Tribolium castaneum: one gene and its partner. The protein of the gene in region 1 purifies or fractionates together with the protein of each later gene. This does not show direct contact. Links are inferred from orthologs where the notes say so. Each region holds a gene or a part of one and is shown on either strand. Other genes may lie near its edges. The genes, in order: Csk and Pax.

The links.
Region 2: the proteins of Csk (region 1) and Pax purify together in Homo sapiens (affinity purification with mass spectrometry; 4 studies listed by BioGRID and IntAct, with this or other methods). This does not show direct contact. The link is inferred for Tribolium castaneum from reciprocal best matches to the Homo sapiens genes CSK and PXN.

What each region holds. Positions count from the first base shown.
Region 1 is NC_087403.1:6,762,973-6,778,622, forward strand, and holds Csk (tyrosine-protein kinase CSK), read right to left. Parts: upstream 8,121-15,650; 5' UTR 7,988-8,120; intron 7,693-7,987; 5' UTR 7,655-7,692; coding exon 7,625-7,654; intron 7,583-7,624; coding exon 7,421-7,582; intron 7,048-7,420; coding exon 6,869-7,047; intron 6,823-6,868; coding exon 6,489-6,822; intron 6,437-6,488; coding exon 5,957-6,436; intron 5,911-5,956; coding exon 5,824-5,910; intron 5,424-5,823; coding exon 5,331-5,423; intron 5,283-5,330; coding exon 5,199-5,282; 3' UTR 4,630-5,198; downstream 1-4,629. Other genes in the region: zinc finger protein 706, read left to right, coding at 4,086-4,229, 4,277-4,366; RpS6 (ribosomal protein S6), read right to left, coding at 9,651-9,836, 10,030-10,233, 10,420-10,565, 10,614-10,818, 11,019-11,024; tubulin beta chain, read right to left, coding at 11,225-11,296, 12,082-13,302, 13,360-13,416. UniProt on the Homo sapiens protein: Non-receptor tyrosine-protein kinase that plays an important role in the regulation of cell growth, differentiation, migration and immune response.
Region 2 is NC_087395.1:17,984,763-17,999,733, forward strand, and holds the end of Pax (paxillin), read left to right. Parts: intron 1-3,919; coding exon 3,920-4,082; intron 4,083-4,133; coding exon 4,134-4,272; intron 4,273-7,725; coding exon 7,726-7,906; intron 7,907-8,052; exon of another isoform or gene 8,053-8,209; intron 8,210-8,255; coding exon 8,256-8,630; intron 8,631-8,678; coding exon 8,679-8,909; intron 8,910-8,981; coding exon of another isoform or gene 8,982-9,080; exon of another isoform or gene 9,081-9,306; intron 9,307-11,566; coding exon 11,567-11,833; 3' UTR 11,834-12,202; downstream 12,203-14,971. UniProt on the Homo sapiens protein: Cytoskeletal protein involved in actin-membrane attachment at sites of cell adhesion to the extracellular matrix (focal adhesion). Recruits other proteins such as TRIM15 to focal adhesion.

The DNA of each region.
Region 1 (15,650 bases):
AATTAGAATTAAAATTTATTTCGTAAATAAATTATATTATTATTATATTGATATTACAATTAAGCTCGGTTTATAGAATTAATTCATTCATTCAATCCACAAATGCGTGATTAACTGATCACGTGACAAAATTGAAGCAATTTGGTTGGTTCATTAAACTTTTAACAATGTTTGGATCTTTTTATAAACAGGCCCTTATAGAAATACAAAATTAGTTTAATGCTTTTAGGTGACCAAGGCCCCATTCTCGTACTTGTCGTTTAAAAAAAACATTGTTCTCGAAAACCACGAATTTTTTCCCACAAAATTTTAATCATTCAAATAAAACGTTGAAAATCAAAGACACTGGCTCCTATATTTTCGTAATTTTTTTATATTGGAACATAAATACAGATATGTTCTATTTTATTCATGTTGTTCACTTGCTTGGTTCGATGTAGAATGATCGGTACGGGAAAAGATTTTAACTCAAGTTTGCAAACTAATTAGTAATAATTATAGTTTTTATTTATTTATTTATTTATTTTTAATATTAATATTATTAAACTGCAAAAACTTTACCTATTCTATATTTATTTCATGCAGTATTTAGTAAATCTTGCAGTGAGACCAAAATTATGCTTTTTATTGCATTTTTAAAAACATAATACTTTTGTACAAGAGTTAGTATAACAAACAAAACAGAGAAAAAATAATGAGTTTGGAAGACTTGCTTAAGACATCTTATTATAACAGTTCGTAATAATAAATCTGTTCTCAACCCTTGGTAAGCCTCGTTTAATTTGGCTTTTTCTTGGTCGATCAACAATTCTAAAAACCGTGTTTTTTTAAATATATGTCCTTCTCGTAAATTAACTATTCAACCAACAATTTTGAAATTTGGTTCACTTAAAAAGCAAACCAGAACGCATCTAACAGCAGTAATAGATTAAAAAAAAAAGACAAAAAAAGCTACTTAAATTACAAGTTTACGAAATTGTGCGTTGAGATTTTCACCATCATGCGGTAAATTATATAAAATTTGACAATTTTAGGTACTTCTTTAAAATATAAGCACGTTTTTACAAAATGGACAATAGACCTTAAGGTTTTTGAGTTAATAACTTCTTAATAGAGCTTTTCAGACAAACAAACTAAGTTTACGGTTTGGAATCAAAATTTGGAAATAAATATATTTTTTAATATAATCCAAAAAACAACGTGTTAAAGGATTATCTAGTAACGGCTAGTGTAGGAGAAGCAAATTGATTTGCCAAAAACATTAATATTAGATTCAGTCTAAGCTGTAATTAAAAAAAGTTGCAGAGAAATAAAATTTTTGTAATCTGTAAATTTTTGAACCTTTTTGGGGATTTTATCAACTTTGTTTAATAAATAACGTATAAAGTAACGTGGTAGTACACATAATTGGACTAAAAATCATCTGATACCAATCTATTTATATTATTTAAAAAACTTATTACAGTAAACAAGGTTGATCTAAGGGTGCCTCCTCTGATAATAATCTAATGACTTTGGCATTAGCAATGCAGATATAAAACAAATTATCAGTGCATTCAGCGTGCAAAAATCTGCAAAATTTTTCAGCTTCGAATGATGATTATGGCAATTATAAATTATCGCAAGAATTCGCAGTTATCTACAGACATAGTGATTTTTTGGGTAAATAAGCGTCGCCTAAATAAGGGACGCCTAAATAAGCGTCGCCTAAATAGGCGTCGCCGAGATTATACTATCGGAACCGACGAGTGCCCAAATTAAAAAAAATAACAGAAAAAATGTAGAGCCCAAAATTCAAACATTCAAAAAATTTATATGGTTCTTACTCATTACCTATCTTCCTGGAATAATCATTGGCATTTGCTTCGATTAAATGCTTTTCATAACTTATCAATAAAAGCCTTCCACAAGGCGTGTGAGTTACAGTTTGCATAGAGTCGTTGTTCGAGCGTTGTTAATAATTTTGTGATGGGGTTGTTGTTTTCTAAATATTTTGTCAGCGAGTCCAGAATAATCCGTAATCGTCTGATGGTGCTTTTAAAGTAAGTAAGTCAAAAATGCAAAAGCTTTTATTACAATTTTCAATTTTTTTCCAGAGAGGAAGGCGCTTACAAGCTCCTCAGCCTCGCTGTTGCAAATTCGAAAATCTACCAGGTATGTAAAAAGGACCACGATCTGAGAGAAGCTTGTGCCGTTGCTGCTTTTCATCGATTCTACAATGAGAAGTTTATTCGCGAAGATGTGTACAACAGAACTGCGGACTTCATGGTCCTTTTGGATGATTTCGTCCAGTTTCAGCTTGCCATCGACGAGCAAAAACAACAGAGGAAGGCCCGCTGCAGCTTCCGCCGTTGCTACAAATTCAAGAAGGACTAAGATCCAGGCAAAATATTTAGAAACAACGTATCTATTTTTTTATTAATTCATTTGTAATGTTTATTATTATTATTAATATTATTATTGTTATATTAATTTTATCTATTTATTATTATCTAATCAAATATAGTATAAAGGAAGTTAAATTTTGCTTGCTGCTCTAGTTACCCCACTACCCGTGCTGTGCCCTTAGTTACATTAGCCGACATTTACAAAATAATCAAACAACAGTTTATTGCTCAGTTCTAATCGCCTTGTGATTGGTCTGTTTTACAGTTGGGAGTGCAATATCCCTCCCATATCCAATGACAAACGCTTCAATCGTCTAGCAGTTTTTTGTGCACCAGATAAACAAGTAGGAGGTGATCTTTAAATTTTTATTGGTCATTTACTCATTTCTGGGACAAATGAGACACCAGTGTAGTTAGAACTGGTTGTAGGGCTGGTTTTTCTCACAGAACGGGATTTCGCCTTAGGTGCGAATAAAATGGTCGATTTAATTTTTGGAAAAAATTTTTTGACACTTTTTTTTAATTTGTTACACAAAAACTAAGAGTCTTAAAAGTAAGATTTTTACACAACTAATTGAAATCAACGCTGTCGGTATAAAGAAATTAATAATTACATGTATAATAATTAAAATAAATAAATTTTTAAAATATTTTTTTTTGTTTTTGGATTTATAGACAAAAAAATTAAATTATTTCAGACAAAATTAATCAAAAAAAAAAAAAAAAAAGATTAGAGTACCTACTGGCATGCGCTCGCCCTTCTAAATTCTGCTCAAATAAACCTAAAAAGATAAATAAGCCGTATTCACAAAAATGTGTCAATTATTTGTATATACATCGATTAGGTTATTAGTTTTTTTTAATTTATTTTTGGACTAATCAAAAAACATGAAATGAAACATACTAAATTGGTTTCTTCGTTGATTTAGTTACAAATAGTAAATACTGCTAAATAAATTTGCAAAATGCTTTGCCTAAAATTTGTTTCTCAAAAAATTAAAGCGACTGGAACTTAAAAATCCACCCACTTGTAATTTTTTCAAGTACTTACCTCAAAAAACTTAAAAGCAAAGTTGTAATCAAAAAATTAGACAAGTTTTTTGTTTTTTTAACTTGCAGCAATTTATTATCTCATTAATAAATAAAACTAATTATTATTAATTTATTATCAATATTGATTCGTTTTGTGTATTGCTGGTTGCATTCCACATGCGTAAAATTATGTTTAAAAATCTTGTTTTAAATTTAAGATGTAACGTAATATTTCTAATTTTTGTTTATGTAATTTTTTTTACAAGGTTGAATGTAAAAACAGCTTTATTTCGTATAAACATTAAATTTCGATGTATTTTTCGATGTTGAAAAAAAACATCGATTTTCGCGAACTTCGATACTTACTTCCCTTTCGTCCCGAATCAAGTTGACGCTGCATTGCAGCTGTCAATTCGAAAATAAAAAAGTTCCGGAAGATATTCCCAGCAATTTGAAGAAAACTTGAAGTAATTCTCCATATATGTGAGCAATATTGCGAATAAAGTTAAGTTTCGTTGGCACTAGTCGGCAGTTTGATCACCACATTTCCACTTTTAGGTTAGTAGTCATATTTCCCTCATACAGAATAACTGTACTTAGAATCCTTTCACAGAGCATCAACTTTTATCTCAGAGGTGAATGTTCTATTACTTCTATTATTAAACAATGGCAAGAGGACAGCAGAAGTTGCAATCACAAGCCAAAGCACAGGAAAAGGCTGCTAAGGCCAAAAAGCAGCAAGGCCACAGTGCTACTGACCAGAAGAAGGCGGCCCAGAAGGCTTTAGTGTACGTTTGTACCGTTTGTAAGGTAAGGAAATAGCCCCGTTTTTTCCCTCGATTGCAGTGTGATTTCAGGCCCAAATGCCTGACCCCAAAACTTACAAACAACACTTTGAGAATAAGCATCCCAAGAGTGAAGTGCCTGCAGAATTGAAAGATGTATGAAAATTTCAATTCGCGTTTAACACCATCTGTGTTTCACTGTTAGAGGGACACTTTTTGTTGTTATGGTTCTTGAGTTACTCTTCCTTTCATTTCATTCATTTGGCTATCTTTGAAGTTGTTCATAGTTGAATCTTAATTTGTATTTATTGACTACGGCAATGTTGTGTTATTCAGATGGTTTGTGATTTTTTATTCCTACATTTGTACTAATAAACATGTTTGACCAACCCGCCTTCTTTACTGCCACCCCAATGAAAAAGTCGTTCAATTCTTAATCACTTTTTATTTAATGATTGTTGTCGTATGCATCTCATTGTAACTTACACATAAATCGTTCGGAAATTTACAAAAAAATCTGAGCCTTTTTAGCCAACGCTAAACTACAAAGATAGTCTCCAATTGTTAAAAACTAAACAATAACGTAAAAATAATATATTTTCAATTTAGAAAAGTTATAAAACAAAAACATTTACAAAATAATTACATTTGGACTTGACCGATCAGAGTACGCTTACACCTAAACAAAGCAAAACAAATCGACGTTACTTTTGATTCCGCTGACTTGAACACTATTCAATTTAAGTACGTCAAATTTACATGATTTGAGAAAATAAATATCAACTGTGTACAAAAAGAGTACGGAAATAAATCAACAATTTTCTAGTCAGACACACCACATTCAGAGAAATAATTGTACAGTTAAAATAAAAAATCTAAAGTAATGATTAGAATAATAATTGCAATAAAAGTGAAATTACATTATGGATCACACAAAGTGCATTCACATCCACTCACACGCATACATCTATCTATAATATACACTAGAGCTAAATCAGGAAGTCTGTTGCTTCAATTGTGCAAGTTTCGCCTTCACGTCTTGAAACGTCGGTCTTTTGTCCGGATTCAGATCCCACGCCTTGAACAATCAATTTTATTCATATAAACCATAAGACGGCAAAATTACCTGTCTCATAATTTCGTAAACTTCCGACGGACAGCCTTCCGGAGCCTCCATCTTGTATCCCTTCTCCACGTGCTTCACCACGTCCGCAAGAGGCTGAAATAGTAATTTACAATTATTTCGTTATTTAACTAAGCGGTCGCTAATCGCTAAATATTTTTAATATTAACGGTATCAATATACATAACTATAATTTTGTTGAAAATAAAAGAAACACAAAGGACAATTTTACGCTCAAAAAAAGGTCAATTTTATTCATTATAAACCAAAAATTACTTATTTACGAAGAGCACGGGCTCTGTTATATATTTATATTTATTATATATTTTGTTTATTGGGTGGGATTTTGTTCTTATCTTATTTCTTTGTTTTCATGTCTTTTCTTTCAACATGTATGTTTAATTTATGTAAAATAATTCATTTGAATCTTCTATATGTTTTTTAACTTAAGCATTGTTTTCCATCAAAAATAAATGAAAACAGAAGAGTGACTTACTATTCTCGGGTACGGAACTCTACCGAAGGAGTAAATCTCCCATAAGAGAATCCCGAAGCTCCACATGTCCGACTTGTTCGAAAATATCTGAAAGCAGAAAATGTACGGCGAAATGACCAGAATAGTGTTTTACATTTCGCTTCAAAGCCTCGGGAGCCGTCCATTTGATCGGCAACTTCGCCGACTCCGACATGGGATTCATCTCATTCCGCGCCAACCCAAAATCGGACACTTTCGCTACGCCGTTTTCGGCGATGAGAACATTCCTCGCAGCTAAATCCCTGTGCACCACATGCATTTTCTCCAAATACTCCATACCCGAGCTTGTGTCAAACGCAAAGTTGATCTGGTCCTTCTTCGTGACGTGCAAACGCCCCCTCGACCGCAAATAATCAACTAGACTGCCTTTACTCATATACTCCGTCACCAAATAAATCTGATCTTTCTTCCGCACAATGCCTAACAAATTAACCAAATTCTCGTGGTGGAGCGATTTCATTAAAATTGCCTCTGCCTCGCTCGAGTCCTTCAGCACCTTCACCGCCACCTTGTTCTTCTTCCACTTACCCAGCATCACCTCGCAAAACTCGCCCTTGCCGATTGGCTCGCAGATCTTCAAGAGAGACACGTGACCGAAACCGCGCCCAGTCATTGGACGGACTTACCTCGAGCTCCTGTTCAGAGATGACGCACAAGTCGTCGTTTTCCTTCGACTTTTCGTTGCACAACGCTTTCACTAACTTCGTACAGAGACCGTCGGCGTCGTTTTTGTAATGTTCGATCATGTCTTCGAGATTATCAAAAAACTCCTCGTCGTCGATTGTTAATTTACCTCCGTTCGACTTCACTCTGTAATGCTCGACTTTGTTGTCGTAGCAGACACACAGAGTGTAATCGCCCGGGAAATTCGTTGATTCCCGCACGAGAAACAGCCCATCGGTGCGCGCTGACAGCAAATTTTCGGCGTTCTCGCGCGAAATGTTGCCGTGAAACCAACTCCTGTGGCAAGTGTTATTGGGGGGAAAGCATGTACGGACGAACTTACGGTGTTGTACTGAATTTCGAATTCGGTCGCATTAAACTGGGGACATGGTTAACGTTGACGTCATGGCGCACATTTTTGAAATTGTTGCAATCTGAACTAATGTTCATGTTATTCGGGGATCTCAGACATTCGTGCTTGATACTGTTGTCCATTTGTGACGCCACTTCTTGGGACGCCATCTGAAAAAATACTTCGCTCTTCCATCACGAATAAATGACTCGTCGCGAATTCATTTGAATAAATTAGAATGAAGCGACTACTGCATCAAATTAAAACTGTAAAATCGGGCGCACTTTAGAATTTTATTCAAATTAGCGGAGTAATTAATAAGTTGAGCGTAATAATATGGAATTGTAATGACATAATGATTTCAAGGCTGCGTTATGTCATGTTAATTTCCCTGTGTTATTTACGATAGACACTGTCCTCAACAATGCGACGGTCTGTCGGATTTGCGCATCAGTTTGAAAATCGCCGCAAAACCGCGTCAACTTTCTCGGGCTGAATGATGGGAACCTGGCCTGAAAGTGTGGGAACTAGCGGTCCACTCACCCAGGAAGGGTCATCATGTGGACGGAACGCTTCGCTAGGGGTGCTCCTCTTGATGCCCCTGGCAGGAACTGTGGGTGGGTGTGAGGTGGTCATGGGGTCCCATTGACCGTCCGTTTGTTGACTGTAGTCGAAAATGTGCTGATACCTCTGCAACGACCCAACCTGATTTACGTATTCAATACGCGATGGGTTTAAATGACGCACCTGAGGAAATGGCGAGTTTTGGCTGGTCATCACTCAAGAATCAACCACTTCGACTCAACACATACTCACTGAAACGAAAGCATTAATAGCCACTTTCCTAGCCCCTTCACGCTCATTTTATTTCGGTGATAATAAATAACGGAAATGAATAATACATTTCTATCAAAATTTGCAATTTGGCCACGAAATTTTGGGTTTCACTGCGCAAAAGACGCAGCCGGTTCGCTAACGCCCTTCGCAATTCAACACAAACCAAAATTTTGCCAAAATATTGCCAAATGTATTAATATAAATCACTGACCCATTAAGTTGCATTTTTACCAAATTCACCGAACTAAACAACAAGCCACTCCAGAAACTCACCAAGTTTTTTAAAACACTTCGACTGGAGCGTTTGGAAGCATCGCTGATTTATTTTTTATGAGCAAACTGGGTTTAAATTTCAAAAACATACATTAAAATGTCAATCTCTAACCAACAACAGCCATTTTGGTTTGGAAAATGTCGATAAAGCAGGGCCCATCGAAGAGAAAGTGGCGCATAGGCAACAAACTATACACCGCTCAGAGAATTCGAATGGAAAGGTCTTTTCTAAGTAAAATAATCTAATTGCTAGGTATTTAAATAAGATTTTCTTAGAAAGACATACTGCTATAAAACGCCATAAGTATTATTACAGCTATTTGCTGAGCTAAATACAGTAGAACTCGGTTATAACGAACCCAAAAAACTTCAGAGTTTGTTCGTTATATTACAACCGATCGTCGCCTAATAGGATAATTTTAAGTTAAATAAGTTTTAATGTTTGAAATTGATAAAGAAAACAAAATATTTATGTATTTTTTTTAGAAAAATAGATAATTAATTATTTACATAAGTATACGTAAAATAATAGTGCAAATATTTTGTTTACTTACCTATTTTTGTTTGCCTTTAACAATTTAGCTGTTTTTAAAATATGTATCACTTTTGGGATCTTTCTACAATATCGGAAATGCTTAATGTTTCCTAGAATGAAACAAAAGTGCACGTGCGTACGCTATAAGTTACAACCGAGTCGTACAATCTTTTTTGTCTAAAAAATGTCAAAAGCGAGTGTTCGTTAAAACCGAACCAATTTGTTACTATAATATAGGACTTAAAATGGGTCTTTCAATTTTTTTAGTTATAACCAAGTTCCACTGTATTTTAAACAGTACACATACACTTTATGATCTTTTTTTACTGATAAAAAATAATGTTTGAGAAGAGAAAAAATATGTATAGTATTTGTTTTCACATGATGGCAATGCCAGGAAATACTGAACAGTATAAATATATTTTTTTTATTTTTTTAAGGGTGGTAAAATAAAAAACGAGCTTAATATTTGTTGTGACTTTATTATATTAAAATTACTACACCAGGAATACATTGTAATTTATGTATCACCGGGGAAGTACCTGAAACAAACAAAAACATTTCAGATACAAGCGGATTGATAAAGCATTAAATGTGAGTCAAAAACATTTTCAGTACATTTTGTAACATCAAGGTTCTCAGTCGGGAAAAGAAGACAAAAAATAAATCATCATTGAATGAAATTACAAAAAAATACATGAAAGTAAAATTACCTGAATAAATCCCAACTGCCACAACAGCCTGAAAAAGAAAACAAACTGTAATACCAATTAAATAACATTTGGTGTGATTTACGAAAACAACTACTCAGTAATTTTTTGACATCAAAATATTCAGTCGGGAAAAGAAGACAAAAACATGAATTCATCATTTCGTGACTTAAGATACTAATAAAATAAAACCAACTCACCATTAAACACTGGGACAAATGTTATAGTTCAGTAGAAAAGTAATTCACCTGTGAATTACCTTAGGGTAAGAAACTATGATTTTCTTGCAAGGTTATCACACTGATTAAACAAGAGTCGTTTAATCAGCTCTAGAACTTGCGTCAATCTGTCAAAAAATGAGAAAAAAACACAATTTAGCGTCAACCAATTTTATTCCTGAAAAGTCATTTATAAAACTTTATTTTTGCGCACTGTGACTGCTAGATTTGCTGTCGCGAAGACTGGCAGATCTGCGCCTCTTCATTTCTTCCTTCTTGGCCTTTGATTCCTTCTTACGCTGGGCTAATAATTTAGCGTAATTGTCTGACTGCTCCTTGCGCCTCAAGCAACGCTTCTTCTTCAGAGCCAGCCTATGACGCTTGCGCTGGAGAACAAAACAAATTACAACAAATTCACTTAAAAAAAACAAAAACTGTATTTGCAACATCATTGACAATAAAAACCTACTGTCGGAGTGATATCACAAAATTGGTGTACCACACACATGAACGCTTCTTTAGTTTGGCAAAACACTAAGAAACTGCCTGAGTGTGGATTTTGCGATGTCACTAAATTACCTGCAAGACAACTGGTGTGATCAAGCGCTGGATTTTGGGTGCCTTGAAGCGCTGCTTCTTGCCCTCTTTCTGGGGCAAGGGGCGCTTCACCACATACTGACGGACGTCGTCTTCTTTGCTCAAATTGAAAAGTTTTCTAATATTTGATGCTCTTTTGGGTCCCAAACGCCGCGGGACTGTGGTGTCAGTCAATCCAGGGATTTCCTGTAACATAGTCAATGACAATGTCCAACTAGCCGTAGAAAAAAAAATGTGCGAGTGACAATTCCACGCCAATTTGACGAAATTGGCGTGTGGTAAGTGACTACAATGCTCTAGCAGTTTCAAGTCACACACAACTTTGCACAATTGGGTGTTTGTAAACTGCAAGCTGCTCGAAAACCAACGCACCTGTTCGCCTTTACGCACGATAACGAGGGCAAGCACACTCAAGTTGCCGTCGACGATGCACCCTCTAACTGACTTGCGTTTCCTTTCACCGTCACGCCGGGGTCTGTAGCAGGAGTGGCCCTTTGAGAGGAGAAGGCGAACGCGGCCTTAAAACACAACTTTAAACAAAATCAACCACTTGCGGAGCCACTCACTGTTCGTGAGAACACCCTGCTTCATCGGGAACCCTTGCTTGTCGTTCCCGCCCGATATTCTAAGAACGTAGCCCTTCCATTCGTCTCCCAAGGGGTCAGCCTCGACTTCCTGTCCCATCCGCTTTTCATAGAAAATACGGATTTTGTGTTCGTCGACGACTTCGAACAGCTTCTGACATCCTGTCGCAGGATAGGACACGTTCAGCTGCAAAAACAAATTGCTACATGATAGAGGTTAGGTCAGGCTACGTGTAGCAACACGCAAATAGCGACGATTATCTCGACCATCGTCCAGTTGCCAAGAGACAATTTAACCGGAGATGGCCTCTTATTCATCCCGCAAGGGATCAGTGTTCATATTTTTGCAAAAAATTGAACAAATTTGAGCTTTTTCCGTAAACTCACCTTCATGATGCTTCCATATATCTGCACACCCGAAGCGAGAAAGAAATAAACAAAGATGAAGTGATTGGGAGAGGACAATGCGCAAACGCACTGAGACTCATTCTAGGCGTGCGCAACTTTAAACTAGAGAGGGGTACAAAATACAATAATTACAAACTCTATTTGTCTTTATTTCTTTTTTTTAACAAATTGACAATGTATTGAAATCATGTTTCTTCTTCAAATTTGTCCTCTTCTGTTTCGTCTTCATCCCCATACTCCTCATCAACTTCCGCATCCTGAGAACAAAAATCAATATCTACAGGTGTTCACATAATTTTATGTGCAAATTGGAATCCGGAATACAGACAGAACCAAAAATACTTAATCCACAAAATTCATGTCCTTGATGTAGGGCATTTTTCAAAAAATTTTTCTTGATTTTAATTAACAATTCTTGTAAAAACAGCCTCTGAAGAGACTTTAATAAAGCGAAACCAAAATCTTTATGCTTGGAAAAAATTACCTTTTTCTAGAAAGCAATATTTCTGGTGTAAAGTTCACAAGAACTTTTTTGTTTTATTTTATTTATTTTATTTCTTTTGAATTTTTGAAACTAACCAGAGAGGTAAACAAGTATACAATCAAAAACCGTAAAAAATATCAGTTGCCATCAGGTTAAATTGCAATAGCTTTGACTAAACTTTGCCTATAATAAAGACTATTTATTATTATTATTGTTATTACTATTATACTTAAATCATTTAAAAATAATGTGAATACTCAAAAACGTCATAAATATTGCTATTGTGTCATTTAGAATTGCAACATTTTAGGTGATTAGGATAGATTAGGATTATATTTACCCCACCTCTTGATCGATAATTTTTTTTTCTAAGCAAAAGTGATTTATAACATTAATAAGTTACTGATTAGTTTGTAACTTTTGAGTGCACACATGCACAGGCCTCTTACAATTATAGGAATCAGGCTGAATATTTATTTTACAAGTCCTTGAAACAACTTTTCGAAATCATGGCAAGCTGATATAAGTATAGATTAGATGGATTCCTGGAACACTAACCTGATACTGCTGATATTCGGAAATTAAGTCATTCAAATTGCTTTCAGCCTCTGTGAATTCTTGCAAATCCATGCCTTCAGCCTGATACCAATGCACATAGGCCTTGCGTCTGAACATAGCTGAGAACTGTTCCTGTATGCGTTTAAATAATTCTTGAATGGCTGTGGTGTTTGCAATGAAAGTTGACGAAATGGGGGCGTGTGGCGACGATATGTCACAAACCGCCGTTTGGATGTTATGTGGGATCCACTCGACGAAATAGGCCGAGTTTTTCTGTTGTGTTTCAAACATGACATGGTCTACCTCTTTCATTGAAACGGGTCCTCGGAAGATGGTAGCGACGGTCAAATATCGCCCGTTTGCCGGATTACAAGCTGCCATGATATTCCGGGGACTGAACATCTGTTCAGTCAAGTCTTTGACGCTTAATTTCCGGTAAGCGACACTTCCCGGAGCCGTCAGCGGCGCAAATCCGGGGACGAAGAAGTGTAGCCGAGGAAACGGTACCATATTTACCGACAGTTTCCTCAAGTCAGCGTTCAACTGACCCGGGAACCGGAAACAAGTGGTGACCCCCGCCATTGTCAAGGAAATCAAATGGTTCAAATCGTCGTACTTCGGTGACGATTTCTTCAAAGTGTTGAAGCAAATGTCGTAGAGGGCTTCATTGTCAATGCACTGCGTCTGATCGGTGTTTTCGATCAGTTGCTGAACGGACAAGGTCGCATTGTAGGGCTCCAGAACCACTTCCGAGACTTTCGGTGATGGCACCACGCTGAAACTTGTCACCATTCGGTCAGGGTACTCCTCACGCACCTTCGAAGTGAGCAAAGTGCCAAAACCGGAGCCGGTACCACCACCTAGAGAGTGCGTGAACTGGAACCCTTGGAAGCAATCGCATCTCTCAACCTCGTGTTGGATCACGTCCAAGACGTTGTCGCAAATTTCGGCGCCTTCGGTGTAGTGACCGGTGGCCCAGTTGTTCCCGGCACCCGACTGAGCGAAAACGAAGTTGTTTGGGTTGAAGAGGGTACCGAGAGGCCCGGCGCGCACCATGTCCATGGTACCGGGTTCTAGATCCACCAGCACCGCCCTAGGGACGTAATTCGCGTTTTCCGCTTCGTTAAAGTACACTTCAATTCGCTCCAATTGGAGATCATTGTCGCCCACGTATTTTCCAACAGGGTTAATGCCATGTTCTTTCGATATCGTATGCCAAAACTAGATAATTTATTATCGGATTATTACGTAATTCCTATATTTAGCCAGGGTACGTACCCGTGAACCAATTTGGTTCCCGCATTGACCCACTTGAAGATGCACAATTTCACGCATTTTTACGTGCCGGTTCAACCCTATTATTCTACACAAAACTTACGAGTGGACTGTTTACCACAAATATGGTAAATCGTTGATGATAAGATAACGAATAAATAGGCATCAGATATGACATAATTAAAAAAGTATATCTTTATTTAAAAATCAATATAAACCAAAGTTATATAATAATTAAACAAGAATAAGTAAACATCGCTTGTTATTCGGGCGAATTTGTTTGAAATTAATTCGTAATTTGCATTAAAATTGCTTCCTTATCACTTACCACTATCACAAAACAATTAAGATTGTGCGCAATGAGTCATAATGTAATACTCATAATTTTCGTAACATAAAGAGAGCAAATCATGCTTTTTAATCTTAAATTACACGTAAGAAACCCTGTAATCGGATATAATACAAAAGTGTGTGTCATTTTGAAAAAATAATTTACGTGAAATTTTAAACTTAGTAATTGGCCATATCAGGTCAAACTATGCAGAAGTTCTGCCTGATTTTTAAAGAAAGTCAACCACAATCAGTGTAGGATGATGTAATGCTTCAAGCGCACTTGTCTAAATAATTTCATAAGGTCTTATTACTCATAAAAATTAATAAACTTGAAAATTTCATACGCAGACATTATTAGATATTATCATATTACGCACAGACCGTGATTTTTGACGAGCGTTCTTACGATCAAAAAGTATCAATTTAATGAATGTTTTTTAATTAATTTAATAGTATTTTGGGTGTAACTGGTTTAATGTTATCAAATACAAATAAACTGTGGCCACCTTTTTCACTTTCTTGCGAATGGAATGTAACAAAAAATGTTTTTTTCGAATGCTTTGGAAGCTGTTTCCGGTGGTAGCTCCACTCAGTGCCCTAAAGTGAAGTAAAAAAAAAGTTGTAAGTGTATACATAACAATCAAATGTAAGGATACTCTTTGAAAAAAAGGTCGAAAGAGTATTCAGAATGGCCCCCGAAGGACGAATCAGTTATTACAGGAAAGGAGGAATATAGTAAAAATAATGAAAAAGAATTTTGCAAAATGCTTTTATAGAAAGTTGTTGTACTTTATGTTTTATTACGTAGTAAATTTAACATACTTTAACACGCCCTTTATAAACGATTAAACACACTTTTTTATGGAAATGTTTGACACGACAAGTTTATTTATGCCCTATATACATTTCATTAAATCGCACTGAAGTTTATGTTATTGACTTAAGGTAGATTTATCTGCCCTTAAACATATTCATTAAACATATGAAATTTGTGGCAATACCACTAATTTTTGCAACAACATTTCACGTTTGCACAAGGGAAAGGAGAAAAATAGTGAAAATAATGAATAAAAATTTTGCAAAATGCTTTTATAGAAAAGTTGGTGTACTATATGTTTTATTACCTGGTAAACTTAATACACGTTAACACGCCCTTTATGAACGATTAAACAACCTTTTTCATAAAAATGTCTGACACGAGAAATTCATTTGTCCCTATATACATTTCAATCTCACTGAAGTTTATGTCGTTGACTCAAGGTAGATTTGTCTGCCCTTAAACATATTCAATAATAATTAATAACGCTCTAAAAGTGCAAAAAAGCACACAAAATCCATTAAAGTTAAAATTCAACACTTCAGAAAAGAGCATAATAAACCTAATCCTATTTTCTGAACTTTTGTCTCTATCTGACATTAGCACATAATAAAGGTAGAGAGATTTGGGCCCTAAATATCCTATCATAACGCTCTGAAAGGGCAGAAATGAAGACAAAATATAATAGTGTAAATTTTGCCATTTCCAGGTAACAACATAACCCAACTTTTCGAGCCTACCGAATTTTCAACAAAACAAACCAAACAAACAATTTGTGGCTATACGCATTGCAATATCACTAATTTTTGCATCAAAATTTGACATTGGCAGTTTCTGTTTAAATGAAAACACGCATTTTTATTTTTCCATTAACTGCATGCGAAACTTTTATAATTTTAGACGTTTATAGACAAATACATTTGTCATAATTAAGTTTTCTAGATCAATACAGTACTATTTTGAATAATTCTGTGTATAAATGTTTCTAAATTTGACGGAATGTGCCAGTGAATATTTCTGGTGATCACCTGTTTTGTCAATTTCTGTCAATGACTTACTTAGATTTGTGTGTTCCGAGGTTACGTGTGCGGCGCAGGCGGCGAAGGCGGAGCAGTCGACAGCGAGCAGTGGCATGGGTCACATC
Region 2 (14,971 bases), on another chromosome or scaffold:
CACAATTTATTTATCATATGTGTTTTTGTAATTGGTAATAATTTGGAAATTTCCTATGATTTTCTCTGGTTTTCCCAAAATTTTTCCTAATTTTTCAAAATTATTTTCCGTAATCTAATTATTATTCATCGCAGATTATTTCACAATTTAGTTAACATATGTGTTTTTGTAATTTGTAGTAATTTGGAAATTTCCTCTGATTTTTCTTGATTTCTCCAAAGTTTCTCCTAATTTTGTAAAATTACTTCCGTAATCTAATTATTTTTCACCGCAGATTATTTTACAATTTAGTTATCATAATATGTGTTTTTGTAATTTTTAATAATTTTAAAATTTCTCCGATTTTCTCTGGTTTCCCCAAAATTTCTCCTAATTTTCCAAAATTATTTTCCGTAATCTAATTTATTATTCATCGCAGATTATTTCACAATTTAGTTATCATATGTGTTTTTGTAATTTGTAATAATTTGAAAATTTCCTCTGATTTTCTCTTGTTTTTCCAAAATTTCTCCTAATTTTTCAAAATTATTTTCTGTAACCTAATTATTATTCATCGCAGATTATTTCACAATTTATTTATCATATGTGTTTTTGTAATTTGTAATAATTTGGAAATTTCCTCTGATTTTTCTTGATTTCTCCAAAGTTTCTCCTATTTTTTCAAAATTACTTTCCGTAATCTAATTATTATTCATCGCAGATTATTTCACAATTTAGTTATAATATGTGTTTTTGTAATTTGTAATAATTTGGAAATTCCCTCTGATTTTCTCTGGTTCCCCCAAAAATTCTCCTAATTTTTCAAAATTATTTTCCGTAATCTAATTATTATTCATCGCAGATTATTTCACAATTTAGTTATCATATGTGTTTTTGTAATTTTTAACAATTTGGAAATTCCCTCTGATTTTCTCTGGTTTCCCCAAAATTTCTCCTAATTTTTCAAAATTATTTTCCGTAATCTAATTATTATTCATCGCAGATTATTTCACAATTTAGTTATCATATGTGTTTTTGTAATTTGTAATAATTTGGAAATTTCCTCTGATTTTTCTTGATTTCTCTAAAATTTCTCCTAATTTTTTAAAATTATTTTCCGTACTCTAATTATTATTCACCGCTGATTATTTTACAACTTAATTATCATAAATATAAATATATACAATATACATTCACGAGGTGAAATAAATGAACGGATTTACACGAAAACGAGTTGAATACAAGATTTTATTTTTCCAATTAGACACAACAAGGCTTAAAATTGCTTTAATTCTGTGAAAAATAATCTGATGTTTTTATTCAGAAATGTCAAACAGTTGTCAAAACTTACACAGGAGAAAAACCGTAATTTTTGACAGTGTCGAAGAATAAAACAAGCTTTGTGTTGTCTTGCTGTCTTCATAAATAATATTAGAATTAATTTATTGAAAAATCAGACGACAAATGCAAAATGCCTTGATTAAAATGTGATGTCAGACAAAACTTTCGGTATTGTGTGATCTTCGGTTGGTATCGTTCGCAGCAAATAAAAGTAAAATAACCATTTAAATAACCATTGAACCCTCACAAGGAATTTCAACAATTCTAGACAAACAGTATTAAAAAATATTGGTTGGAATTGTTTTTTAATCATTTCTACTGCGTTTTTAATTCAGTAGACAGGGTGATTTTTAAAAAATGTCAGTCCTTGTAGACTTTTTATTTATGTTTTTTATTTTATTTTTTTTATTTTAAATTTTAACTTACATTTTTTATAATTTGGAAGATATTTCTTGATACAAACATGTGTAAAATGTTCTACTTTTACTAAAGTTGAAAAAATATTAACGAAAATTAATAAATTCTAGTTGCGTAAGCCATTCTAGGAATAATGCAACCTGGTACCGAAATTTAAATAATTACGTTGTTTAGTTGGAAATCTTAAAAAACAAATTATTATTATTTAAATAGAAAAGAATAAACCTTTCTAAAAAGCTAATACATTAAATAATTTCTCATCTAATTTGATTATGTGATTAATTATTAATTTGACACTATAAAATATCGTTGATCTTACAAAAATAAAAACACGAAATCATGCGTTCAGCATGATTCAGTGATGACATTATTTATGAGCGTGATTGTCCATTGTCTTGTAGGCGATAACATAAAATACTGAAGTACTACAACTGGTGAATATTTTTTAAAGAGTATTTTTCTAGTTTTATAGTTTTCTGGTAAATTTATTAGTAATATTATACTTGTTTATCTTTATAATTTTTCCTGTCACGTTATCGACATAAAATGTTGTTCTTATTTTTTACGTTGTTAAACAAGACCACGAATTTTTAATTTCCACTGTTTAATTTTGATACTGTCAAAGTCTTTAATAGTTAAAGCCTGTCTGATTAATTTTTTTAGGATTATTTTCATACATAAGATTTTTTTGTCCCATCCGTCATGTATGTAAACAAAGAGTAAATTAATCAGAAGTAGTTACACATTGCTTTGTTCTTCGGTTTCGTGCTTTCAAAAGTTCCACCTTTTACTTCAAAAATAATTACTGGAAGTGTCTTTTAAATTAGCAGAATTTTATAACGATTGTAAAAAAATAAGAATGAGGTTTTTTTTTATGTTCCGTCTGTCATTAATTCGTATTTTTTTCCTGCTCGTATTTCAGATTTTACAAATGTGGCTCCACTTGTAGATTGCAAACAGTTTGACTGGTACTAAGTTCCTATAAAGAGAAATTCACTTCTACTGATTCTGTTCATAAAAATGGAAAATAAAATTTAAAAAATTTTCTGTCTGTTACCATGAGATGGTAAAGAGGACACTGCCATTATTGCTATGTTAAAAAGCAGTAAATGAAAGAAAATAAGTTGTGCCAATATTTTTTCAAATACACTTGCAACATGTCTGTTAATTGATTATTAATCATTAATTTTAAAGAATGTGTTTAAGTGTGTCGTGATTATACTATCCATATATTTTTTCTATTTAATAATTTTTACACACATGTTTTTGTACCAAAAATCTAGTATTTTTCAAATTATAAAAAGAAAAATATGGGTTCCAATTTGAATTAAGAAATTTGAATATAACCAAAATACACTATGACATTTAGAAAATTTTTAAAAATCACTTTGTATAAATATTTATTCACTTCTAGCCTGTAGGCTAGCTTCGAATTAGAAGCATAGTAATGTATTTATTACATTTATTCGAGCATCTACCAGATTTTCTAAATTCATTGTGGATAAAACAGTGTAAAATTGTTAAATGGCGTAAAATTACTAATTTCTCTAAGCATCTTCTCGTCAAAAAGCGCGTGAAAATAATATCCAACAGCCTCAGTTTATGAAATCCGTCTTCAAATGTCTAATACACATAGGACATTAATTTAATTCGCAATTAAATGCGTGAATAACTGATCACATGACCAAATTTGATTGGTCTATTTGCGTTGTTAACTTTTAACAACGAATTAAATTTTAAACAAGCGGATGGACCAATCACATTTGTTCAATTTGGTCACGTGATCAATTAATTGCGGATTAACTTAATGACGCTTCTATAAACCGACCCATACAGATTTTATTATGTATTTGAAAAAATAACTTTCTTTAGTATTTGCATCCTACAAACTCTATCCTGATTGTGCTTTTTATCGTTTTCCTGATTGACTTATTTAAAATGATTTCCTCTGGTTTTTCCTGATTTCCTCAATTTGTACACCGCTTTCCTCTGCGGTTTTTCTGGTTGTTTAGGACAGGCCTGTTTAGATGTATTAGCAGTTGTATGTTTGGTTAAGTGGCCGAGATACACACGTCTTGTATATTTATATAAAATTAAAGTTAATCTGAAGCGAATATAACTCGCCGAAAATACATTCCGGACAACATACCCTGAATTTAGAAATTTCTAATTGTGATTTCAGGGTACTTATGGCAAGACCCAACCGACTTCTGGAGCCCGCACTCCGGGGTACGGGTACGGTTCCGGGCCCGGAGCCGGCGAGAAACGCACTTTTAATAACAATCTGTCCGAGCTCGATACGCTCTTGCAGGACTTGAGCAATTCGCGTTATGGCAACATTTCCGGTAAGATTCCAGTTTGGTTCAACTTCTTGGTTTACTGGGCTGTTTTTGCAGAAAATGGAATGAATGGAACTTTGAACGGAAGTACTTACAACGGCTCGGGCGGCTTGAGCCCCCATTCGCGTCCCTCGAGCGCCCAAAGTACTTTGAACAGACGCACAGTCGATAGTCTTTTGGAGGAATTAAATCCCGGGTGAGTAAGAATTGTTTCTCTTGGCTTAAAATCAGGTTTATATCACCGGGACCATTAACGCTGTAATGCGACCTATATTTTTTATTTGGGAAAATTTATGGTTTTGTAGATTTGTTAACGCAAGTCACCGGGTTTGACCTACTGCTATTTTAGTACAGATTTGATTAATGCCTTCAGGTGTTTTTTATCTGATTGTGAATAGCTTTGCTGTTTTTTTAAACCAGGTGTTTATCTAAATTTAACAAACAACTTTATTGAGAGTTTTGTGCCAAATGAAGGATTTGTTTTTGACTATTAGTGCGCTTACAGAAATAGAAATCCACAACTTGATCGTTGTTATGTACACGTAGGTGGGAGTGTTCGTCTGTAATTACTTCAACTAGGTTTTAAGTGTAAATTCAAACCTACAATGATAAATAAATTGCGCGACGTGAAAAATGTCATGCGAGGCTTGGCGGACAATTGTTAAAGCGTTTCAAGATGTTTGTCGTTTGTAACATTGCTTGTCAACCAGTGGCGTTACAAAAAATAGTAATTATTGTAAAAACTAGATATTTTTTATTTGATGTGGTGGTAGAAAAAATATGTGTAAAGTATAAATGAGATTAAATACCTGCGAATCACGCGCTGAAAATACTACATTTCCTGTAGTATTTATACAAATAATGAGATAAATAGTTAGTGTTGGCACTTCCAAATCCAATTAGAGAAATATTTTTAGATAAAAATATATTTAAGACCAACAAATCGTTTCTTTCATAATTGAGAAACAAATGACTTACGAAGGACGTTCTTGTTTGTTCTATCCAACATTGTTTAAACAAATATAATTTTTATGGATTTTTATTTAAAAAATATTTCAAAATTATCGACATTACACAGGTTTGAATATTTGTTTTTTTACCAGTTTCTTATTTTGTAAGCTGATCAAAGTTCGTAATAAATATCTGTAAAAAATGTAGTACAAAATACAGTTGGTTTGTTTCAAGAATTTTTTAATTATTGCTGCTTTATTTTGTTGTCTGTTATTTTCTTTAACTGTTCTTACATTAGATGGTAGAGAAAAACTGATTTGTGTTTTTGGAGTCAACACAATTAATATCTAAATATTAGTGATAAAGCCATAGAGTAGAAGAAAAATTTGCCTCTTATTTCTAAGGTGATGTTAAGATTAAATACAGTCTTGTGTTGTATGGGGTCCTGCCGGCTTCTGAATTGTTTCTATCAACGAATAACCAAAAGTTTCATTGTAATTATCAAGAAATGACCAAATATTACTTTAAATTAAATGTAACTGGACAGTAGTAACAGTGGTGTCCAAGTAATATCATTCAAAGTGAATTGAATCCAAAGTACCGGACATTTAAAATTTATAATTTCCGATTTTGCAAAGTTTATTTTAAACCCAAATAACTCGAAAACGGTATATTTTAGCGAAGTACAACAAGAGTATCTTTTTTTAAGAAAAATGAATAGGCTTTCAATCTTTGGTATCAAAAATATGTATTAATGGGCTGAAAAAACAAGTTATGGTTAAAAAACTGCGGGGAATCCATTACAACCAGAAATGTACAACTTTTGTATAACTTCCGTTTACATCACATTAAAGAGCGTCTTTTATTAGTCTTAGGGCCGGTTGATAGAAAGCTTGAATAAATTTCAGTTTGTTGTTAAAAGTTAACAACGCGAATAGACCAATCAAATTGGTTCAATGTGGTCACGTGATCAGTTAATCACGCATTTAATTGCAGATTAAATTAATGACGCTTTTATAAACCGGTCCTTACATTATTGCCAAGTTTTATAATAATCAGACAATCAATAACGAAAGTATTTTCCAAAAATCATTCAAAAAGTTGTAATTTTTCTATTAATTGAGATAGGCCAACAAAAACCTTCCAATTTATTATCATTTGTAGAGGGATATTTGTGGTTAAAATTATGCCACATCATTTTAAATCATAGTCTAGAAAGCTTCATTAAATTTTAATTCGTTGTTAAAAGTTAACAAAGCAAATCGACCAATCACATTTGTTCAATTTCGTCACGTGCTCAGTTAAGCACGCATTTAATTGGGGGTTAAATTAATGACGCTTTTATAAACCGGTTCCTAGTTAACATTAGTTTTTCAGAAAATGTTTTTTTTTAATTTGCTTTTCGAGCATGTATTTATTTTTATTCGTATAACAAACTGAAAATAGCAACAAATTAAATTTGCTAAGGAAAAACATTCTAAAAATTAAAAAGTTGCTTAAAAACCTGATATCATTTTTATGCTTAGTCGAACTTCTATTATCAGCATTTTAAAGGTTGGTCCGACACTTTTAAATCACCTTGTATTCGTGTATTCGGTTCTAAGACCTAGTAAGAAAAATCCTTTACTTGTGGGTAGAATTGGTAGATATATAATAGAGGGCCTAAAAATGCCCTATCAAAGGTTTTACTTAAATCTAAAATTTCAGGAGTTTTAGTGACATTATTTGTTAACTATTAACTTAAATTTATTAACAAAAAATTATATAATAATATGGCTAATTAGATGAATAAATAAAATTAGTTAAGACCAAATATTTTGGAAACATGGGACTGAAATTATTATTACCATTAATAAAAAGAAAGATAAACTCCTTTGTGCAAAATTATCAATATTTTTTATATTGTTATTTATTTATTTATTTATTTTGATATCACTTTCTTCCACAAACAGCATCACTCTATGATTATGTTTAGATCTTGCAAAGTAAGAACTGAAATTTACGTTTACTGATCGACTCATTCTAAGGCACAGAAAGTATTTCAGAATTTGGAATTCGCTGGTGTGTCTAATTTTCTGTAGTTGGGACACGCTTTTAAAAGAAGGAACAGTGCTAAATTTTTACCTAATTTGAACTAATATTACCTAAATTATCCTTGATTTTATTTTTTTAAACCGCACTGTACTATTTTTGTTTTGGTAACGTAAAGCACGTTTGCATTAGCCATGGCTAAATACAAATTAACTAAACACTAGAGAATAGCTTCGTGATTTGAGGTCAAACAAAACAGCTGTCGCTCTGAAATTTGTCAAAAGATGTTTGTCGACTGTTTTATTGAAATAAAATGCTGACAATTTATCTTTTTTTCTCAATTAGAATATAACGTTAAATTTTTTATATTTCTATAAAGTGTACTAGTCCCATTTATGGCTCTACTGATAGTGTAATCATGTCCCAAACAAAATTTGTAAATTGTCAACGGTCACAAAAGGAATATTAATTTACTTTTACAGACTTATCCAAGAACTAGTGACTCGTTGTGCTTGATTTGCTCCCTGTTAGCTTACTTTGCATATTTTCTTTTAAATTGCGCATTGTCTTTGAGACAATGATTGCGCCACTGTTCATAAGTCATGCGGTTAGTATCATCTTTTCCTAATGTAAATGTCAGTCACGTTGATAACTAAACAATTTCCAGTGAAGTGATTTATGCTGGTCCGAAAAAAGTGACCATCACTGTGAAAGAAACAAAAACCGAGACGGGTTATCCCGGTGAAACCGAACTGATTTCATCCCACATCAGCACGTCTACGGCCCCTGCAGCCTCAACGGCCACCCGAGAGCTCGACGATTTGATGGCGAGTCTGTCCGGCATCAAGGTACGTGTTAATTAAATGAATGGTTGTTAAAAATACGCCAAAAGCAATTAAAAATAACCGAAAAGAATAAAATCGTGCGTGTCGCGTGGGCGCATCTTTTTCGAACCGTGATGTAAGTAGAATAATAATAACAAAGCGGTCCGTATGCTAGCGAAGAAACACTGTGACATAATAAGAATCCCGCCACAGTTCCACAAAAATAGCCCGGTTTTCGGGAATGTCGCGGGAGAGGGGGGCGTGAAAATTTACTTGGTCGTGAAAAGCGCGCGGTTGTTCAGTTTCCCCCGAGCACCATCTCCGACGGTTGGTCCCACCGCCTCCAAAGCGCTCCTGACCGTTCTGTTCGCAGGTGAACCAGGGCCAGCCCCAGCACCAGACGGTCACCGACTCGCAGTACGCGCGCCCCACGAAAGCGACGCAGTCCCACAGCGCCCCCAAGCAGAACTTGGACTCTATGCTCGGCAACCTCCAGGCGGACATGAGCCGACAAGGGGTCAACACCAGCCAGAAGGGCTGCTGCAGCGCCTGCGACAAGCCCATCGTCGGGCAGGTCATCACCGCGCTGGGCAAGACCTGGCACCCGGAGCACTTCACCTGCGCCCACTGCACCCAGGAGCTGGGCACGCGGAACTTCTTCGAGCGCGACGGGAAGCCCTATTGCGAGCCGGACTACCACAACCTTTTCAGTCCGCGCTGCGCCTACTGCAACGGGCCTATTTTGGATGTAGGTCGGCGCGGCTGAAGCAGCACTTTCTGACCGCTCTATTTACAGAAATGCGTGACCGCGCTGGAAAAGACGTGGCACATGGAACACTTCTTCTGCGCGCAATGCGGCAAGCAGTTCGGGGAAGAAGGGTTCCATGAGCGCGAAGGGAAGCCCTACTGTAGGGACGATTACTTCGACATGTTCGCCCCCAAGTGCGGGGCGTGCAATAGGGCCATCATGGAGAACTACATCTCGGCGCTGAACGCGCAATGGCACCCCGATTGCTTTGTGTGCAGGGTAAGTATCGACGGCCCCGACGCAAAGCGCAAAAATGAGCCAGGAGAGTAGGTATTAAAGTTGAAACCATAGGATTGCAAGTTGCCGGTGCAAGGGAAGTCGTTTTATGCGGTTGAAGGCAAACCGGTGTGTCCAGCATGCATCGGGCGGGAGGACGAAGAAGACGAATAAATATGCTAGCCACCCCTAATAAAGTCTAACCCTGTCCCGTAAATAAGAGCAAAGTCTTGTATATTTGTATTATATTGAGATAATAAAGATTTAATAAAAAAGAAAACACAAAAATACACACACAAATAGAATCAGGGCGATTTTCTGCGCGCTCAGAGCGCTGCGTTGTCGCCCAGGTGAGGCCTAGCGGCCGTTTTATAAATTGTGTGTTTATTGGGTCAGTTGCTACGTCTTTGTACATCATATTTAAGCCAGGATTATTTATAGGTCGGGTACCTACACGAAAATATAGGACAAATTTATGAAACTTGTCTCTGTCTCGTTCTATTTAATGGGTTTTGTTGCACCACGTTTCTGGCCTTGATTTGTAGCAACTAGACGAGCCAAAATCATTGTAATTTTTCTCTGCGTTATTTATTTCATTCGATTTGCTAATTTCGTTTCGATTTAATGGCGACGGGAAACAAGACAGCTCAATTAATGGCAGGCGTAATCAATTTTTATTATTGTTCTGTGGTGACGGAAAGATAAATTAATTTGAGAAAGTGGGAAGAAATTAGATGAACATGTCTCTCAATGGTTTAGAAGTAGGGATTTTTGCACACATTAACGTGAAATGATTTACTAAGTGAAACAAAGAATAGAAAAAAAAGTTTACATTTGTCTTGAGTGAATTAGGTGGAAAAAAAGGACAATAATTAAAAATAAAACACTTTTAAAGTTTCGGAGTTTGGAAAAAGTTTCTGCGTTTCTTCTTCTTTCACTAAGTGCTTCAGTAGGGTTTTCACCAACTATGGCCAATAGTAATTAAATTAACCTTTTTTCTACCACTGATTGACATGCCCTTATTTATTTTAAAGTATTAAAGAGTTATGAAAAATGTAATATCCAGTCGCGAATGGCAAAATTATGGAATTATTATTAAATTAATTATTATTATTTATTATTAAAACCTGTTGCAATTGAAAATTTGTTTGCTATGTCAGAAATGCCGGAACAGCTTTAAATTTTCTTTTTAAAAATACTCCATTCTTAACTTGATTTAAATTTCCAATTTTTGAATTTTATTTGAAAGCCTCTATGGGCTAATATTCTGCAAATCTTCTACATTTTGTGGTCTGATTAAAAGAAAAGCATGAGACTGAACAAATATTTAATTGATTTGTCACAAAAAATACTATCAACAAAAAGAATTAAGGTTTTGTTTAAAACATACTTGCCTGAGTTTTGGGCAAAATTAAAATAATTAATTTTATTAATAACTAAAATTTAGGTTTCTTTTTCATAGATTTTATTCTACAAATGGTTTTACCATTTCGGCAATTGAAGGGCTTAGTGAGTGAAGGGGCTATGTAAATTTTTTTATTATTTTTTTTACAAATTCGAACTATTTTAATAATGTTTAATTGAAATATGCTTAACGCATTCGTATTTTTCGCTAAAATTGCAAGTTAGTTGTTGCTAAAGGGCTATGTACTAAGTATTATAAAATTTAATTGTGGTTGAGGGAGTATGTCCATTTAATTTGGAATTACATGATATAAAACTTATTTTTTTTGTTGGTAATATATTTAGCTTTTTTTTTAATATCTGAATCCTTGATTATAATCACTATTTTAAATACACTATTTTTAAAATTAAAATGTTTCAACAAAAAAAATAACACTCATGCGAAAACGCTTAAAGTTCTCAGTTGTCTGGGTATGCAACTCGCATACGCTCGTTGCATAACCATAGCCCTCGAACTTTAAGCTTGTGTTTTCGCACTCGTATTATTAATAACTATAAAAGTACCTACTATTCATTGCTTATTAGTTGACTTACGAACATATTTGTTTAGTATAAAAGTAAACTAACCTTTTGTATTTTTTTTAATAAAAATGGATCTTGCTCAAAATCTATAGATAAAACAGTGATGTACAAATTTAAGTTAATTCTAACTGGAACTGGCTATTTTTTTGTTTAACAAATATATATTTAATAATATTCTAATTTAGTACACTCTCGCTAACATAACTGCAAACCTAAAGCAATTTTTAGAAATGAAACTTTGAAAGCACGTAGCGTAAAAATTTTTTTAAGGCACATGACCTTTCATTTTTTAACCCTTTCAGTTTTAACATCCCTATTGAAATGGCTAAAAAATCGGGGGTTTCTATTTTAAAAAAATGACGATGACATCATTTTCAATAACCAAAAGATAAGAAATTTATTTTAAGTTGCGAATGATGTACAATTGAGTGCAAAAAAATTCTGAAATTGTGGCATTTATTAATAGGTAAATTACCTGAAAAAAGTCAATTTACGTTTTTTTGCATTCGAGTGTGAATGAATTTTTCTCAAAACGAAATAGTTTTCCAGCGCACTGTATCTTTACAATATGATTTCTTACGGTCTAGTTCGTATCGTTTTCAAGGATTTTTTCCTCGTCTTACACCAAGAAATATTTTTACGAATACTAATTGTATCATGTTTTGTTTTTCCAGGACTGTCGCCAGCCGTTTATAGGTGGCTCCTTCTTCGACCACGAAGGTCAGCCGTACTGCGAGACCCATTACCACTTGAAACGTGGTTCGCTGTGTGCCGGTTGCCATAAACCGATTTCCGGCCGTTGCATCACAGCCATGTTTAGGAAATTTCATCCGGAGCATTTCGTTTGTGCATTTTGTCTCAAGCAGCTAAATAAGGGCACTTTCAAGGAACAGAATGATAAGCCATATTGTCATACGTGTTTCGATAAACTTTTCGGCTAATTGAATTCTTCATCTTCTTAATTGTCTCTTAAGTTTCATCAAAAACCAACTTGTATTTATATCTAAATGTTAGTTAGACTTATGAGTCAAGTAGGTTTGCTTAATCCATTAATGACTTATTATTACGAACAGAAATCTTTTAATTCCATACTGTTTTTTCTTATTTTTTTTTCTTTTCAGAACACGTATGATGCACTCGTTGTATTTTGCATTTCAATAATTAATTACAAGTTGCCATTTTATTTTTTATACTTTTATTAATTTTAATCAAGGTTGTTAATTCGTACTGTAATTATTTTGTAACAAAAACTAATTTTAAATATAATTATTATATATTTAACGTGTGAAATAAAGTGGATCATCTAGTGAGCCATGTGGTTTTGTCTTACCCCCATAGTTTACAAAGAATACTCGTAAAAAATTTAAAAAAGTCTACAACTGCGGTATTCGTTGCTTCATTAACTGTTTAAAAGAAGATTGATACAAAGGATCATTGTGAGTAAGATAAAAAAATGTTTTTCCCCGGATTCATACTAGTTGGGGGAAAAGATTCCAAGGTTGGCAATGCGATTGGTGATTATTATTATTACCATTATTATTAAAAACCGATTATAACTTTCGTATAGTAAACAAAAACAAATACATTTTAAATTGTAAATGATAAATATTATTATTTGATAACTACCAGCACAGGCACAGAAAAATAATTAAACTTACTATGGGGTGGGGCAAAAGGGGAAATGGCTAAATAGTTCGTGCACTCAAGCTGAGAGGTCGCGTCAAACACAAATTTAAAGGAATCTGTCGCACATTTTGCTGAAAGTAAAAGAAAAAGAGGTTCACTAAAAATAACCTACGTGCCCATACTTTTATTAAAAATTTAAAATTCAAATGATTACATGGTAGTTGTAATTCCCTAATTTTCGGTTATAGTTATGTATATCAGATTTCTCGCTTTTTATTTAAATAATTTTAGCACACTTGAGTTTGAGTGCAATCGAGATTACTCAAAAATTACTCAAATTTCAAAACTTATCAAGAACTTTAACATCAAACGTGTTAGGGCCCCTTTTACAAACGTCTGATAGCTTTATCCCCGCGAATAAATTTCGAAAAATACGTTGTTGAACAAAAACACTAAAAACTTATCGGGAGTCTGTTCATCTGAGAATTGTAAAATTTAGCCTTAGGGGCTTAAAAATTGGACTAATGTCAAAGGTTACTATCAAAATTTTGATATTTTTTTGTTTTTCTGAACAGTGTGTAGACAAGTAATTGAACCAACAAATCTGATGTATTTATACAGACTGATCCCGAAATACTGTGTCTGTCAGCAATCTGAATTTAAATTTTAAAGGATACCAATAGTGTACACTTCCAGTTAACAATTTAATAATTTAATCTGATGCCAATATACTCAGTTTTTATGGATCATTGTGTATGTTTGGACAATGTATTTACATAGATTACTACATCTGAAGTATCTTTTTGAAGAACAATTCAAGTTAAATTAATTTTGCCTATACATTCCAGCACGTTATTATTTTTTAATAAATTTTTATTGGAAAGAAATGTTTTTGTGCTATTGCAACTGTTACAAATGCTTTTTTATTAAAATGTCTCGTAACAGTGCATGAGTACAGAAACATTTAACATTTATAATCTTTTAAATTTGGAAAATAAATAAAATGTCCTGTTTGAATTTCCCGCTATTATCGAGTTAGTTCGTTCTCTCAGGATTAGGTAGCGCTTTCGCGAAAAACGAGAGATAGAGAGATTCGCCTATGTTGCTGTTTTCACCCAGGCATCCCGAACTGATATAGCCAAATCGAGCCCTCACTGAATTAGGTTTTACTGATGATGCGGATAGATGGCCTTAGTGTTTTACAGGAAAAAGAAATCCTATTGGCGGATTTAAAATTTCAGATTATTGAAGAAAAACGTGGTGCCGATGCGCGGCTGACAAGTAAAAATTTCACAAACGTCACAAATTTCACAAATTTGAGTTTTATGAAATTATTAGTTTGTGAAATAAATAAATACGACACAGCAATAAAATACACCTACCTTCATATCGCTTCCACGTTGGCTACCGTTTGTGGCATTAAAAAAAATAATAATAAAAATGAAACCAAAAAAAATGTTTATTTGCATTAAATTTTCAGCAAGCCACTTTCATTCATTGAAATTAAAGGCAAAATTACGTGGCAATAAATTATTTGAGTGTTTTATTTTATTTATAGTTACTGTATTTAAAATGTGTCACTCAAAATATCACTTTTCAATACTGCATTTAAAGATTTTAATTGCAATTAAGTTTTATGAAATTATTGGTTTTTTGAAATAAATAAATACGACACAGCAATAAAATACACCTACCTTCATATCGCTTCCACGTTGGCTACCGTTTGTAGCATTAAAAAAAATAATAATAAAAATGAAACCAAAAAAAAATAATAATAAAAATGAAACCAAAAAAAATGTTTATTTGCATTAAATTTTCAGCAAGCCACTTTCATTCATTGAAATTAAAGGCAAAATTACGTGGCAATAAATTATTTGAGTGTTTTATTTTATTTATAGTTACTGTATTTAAAATGTGTCACTCAAAATATCACTTTTCAATACTGCATTTAAAGATTTTAATTGCAATTAAGTTTTATGAAATTATTGGTTTTTTGAAATAAATAAATACGACACAGCAATAAAATACACCTACCTTCATATCGCTTCCACGTTGGCTACCGTTTGTAGCATTAAAAAAAATAATAATAAAAATGAAACCAAAAAAAAATAATAATAAAAATGAAACCAAAAAAAATGTTTATTTGCATTAAATTTTCAGCAAGCCACTTTCATTCATTGAAATTAAAGGTAAAATTGCGTGTCAATAAATTATTTGAGTGTTTTATTTTATTTATAGTTACTGTATTTAAAATGTGTCACTCAAAATATCACTTTTCAATACCGCATTTAAAGATTTTAATTGCAATTAAGTTTTATGAAATTATTGGTTTTTTGAAATAAATAAATACGACACAGCAATAAAATACACCTACCTTCATATCGCTTCCACGTTGGCTACCGTTTGTAGCATTAAAAAAAATAATAATAAAAATGAAACCAAAAAAAAATAAT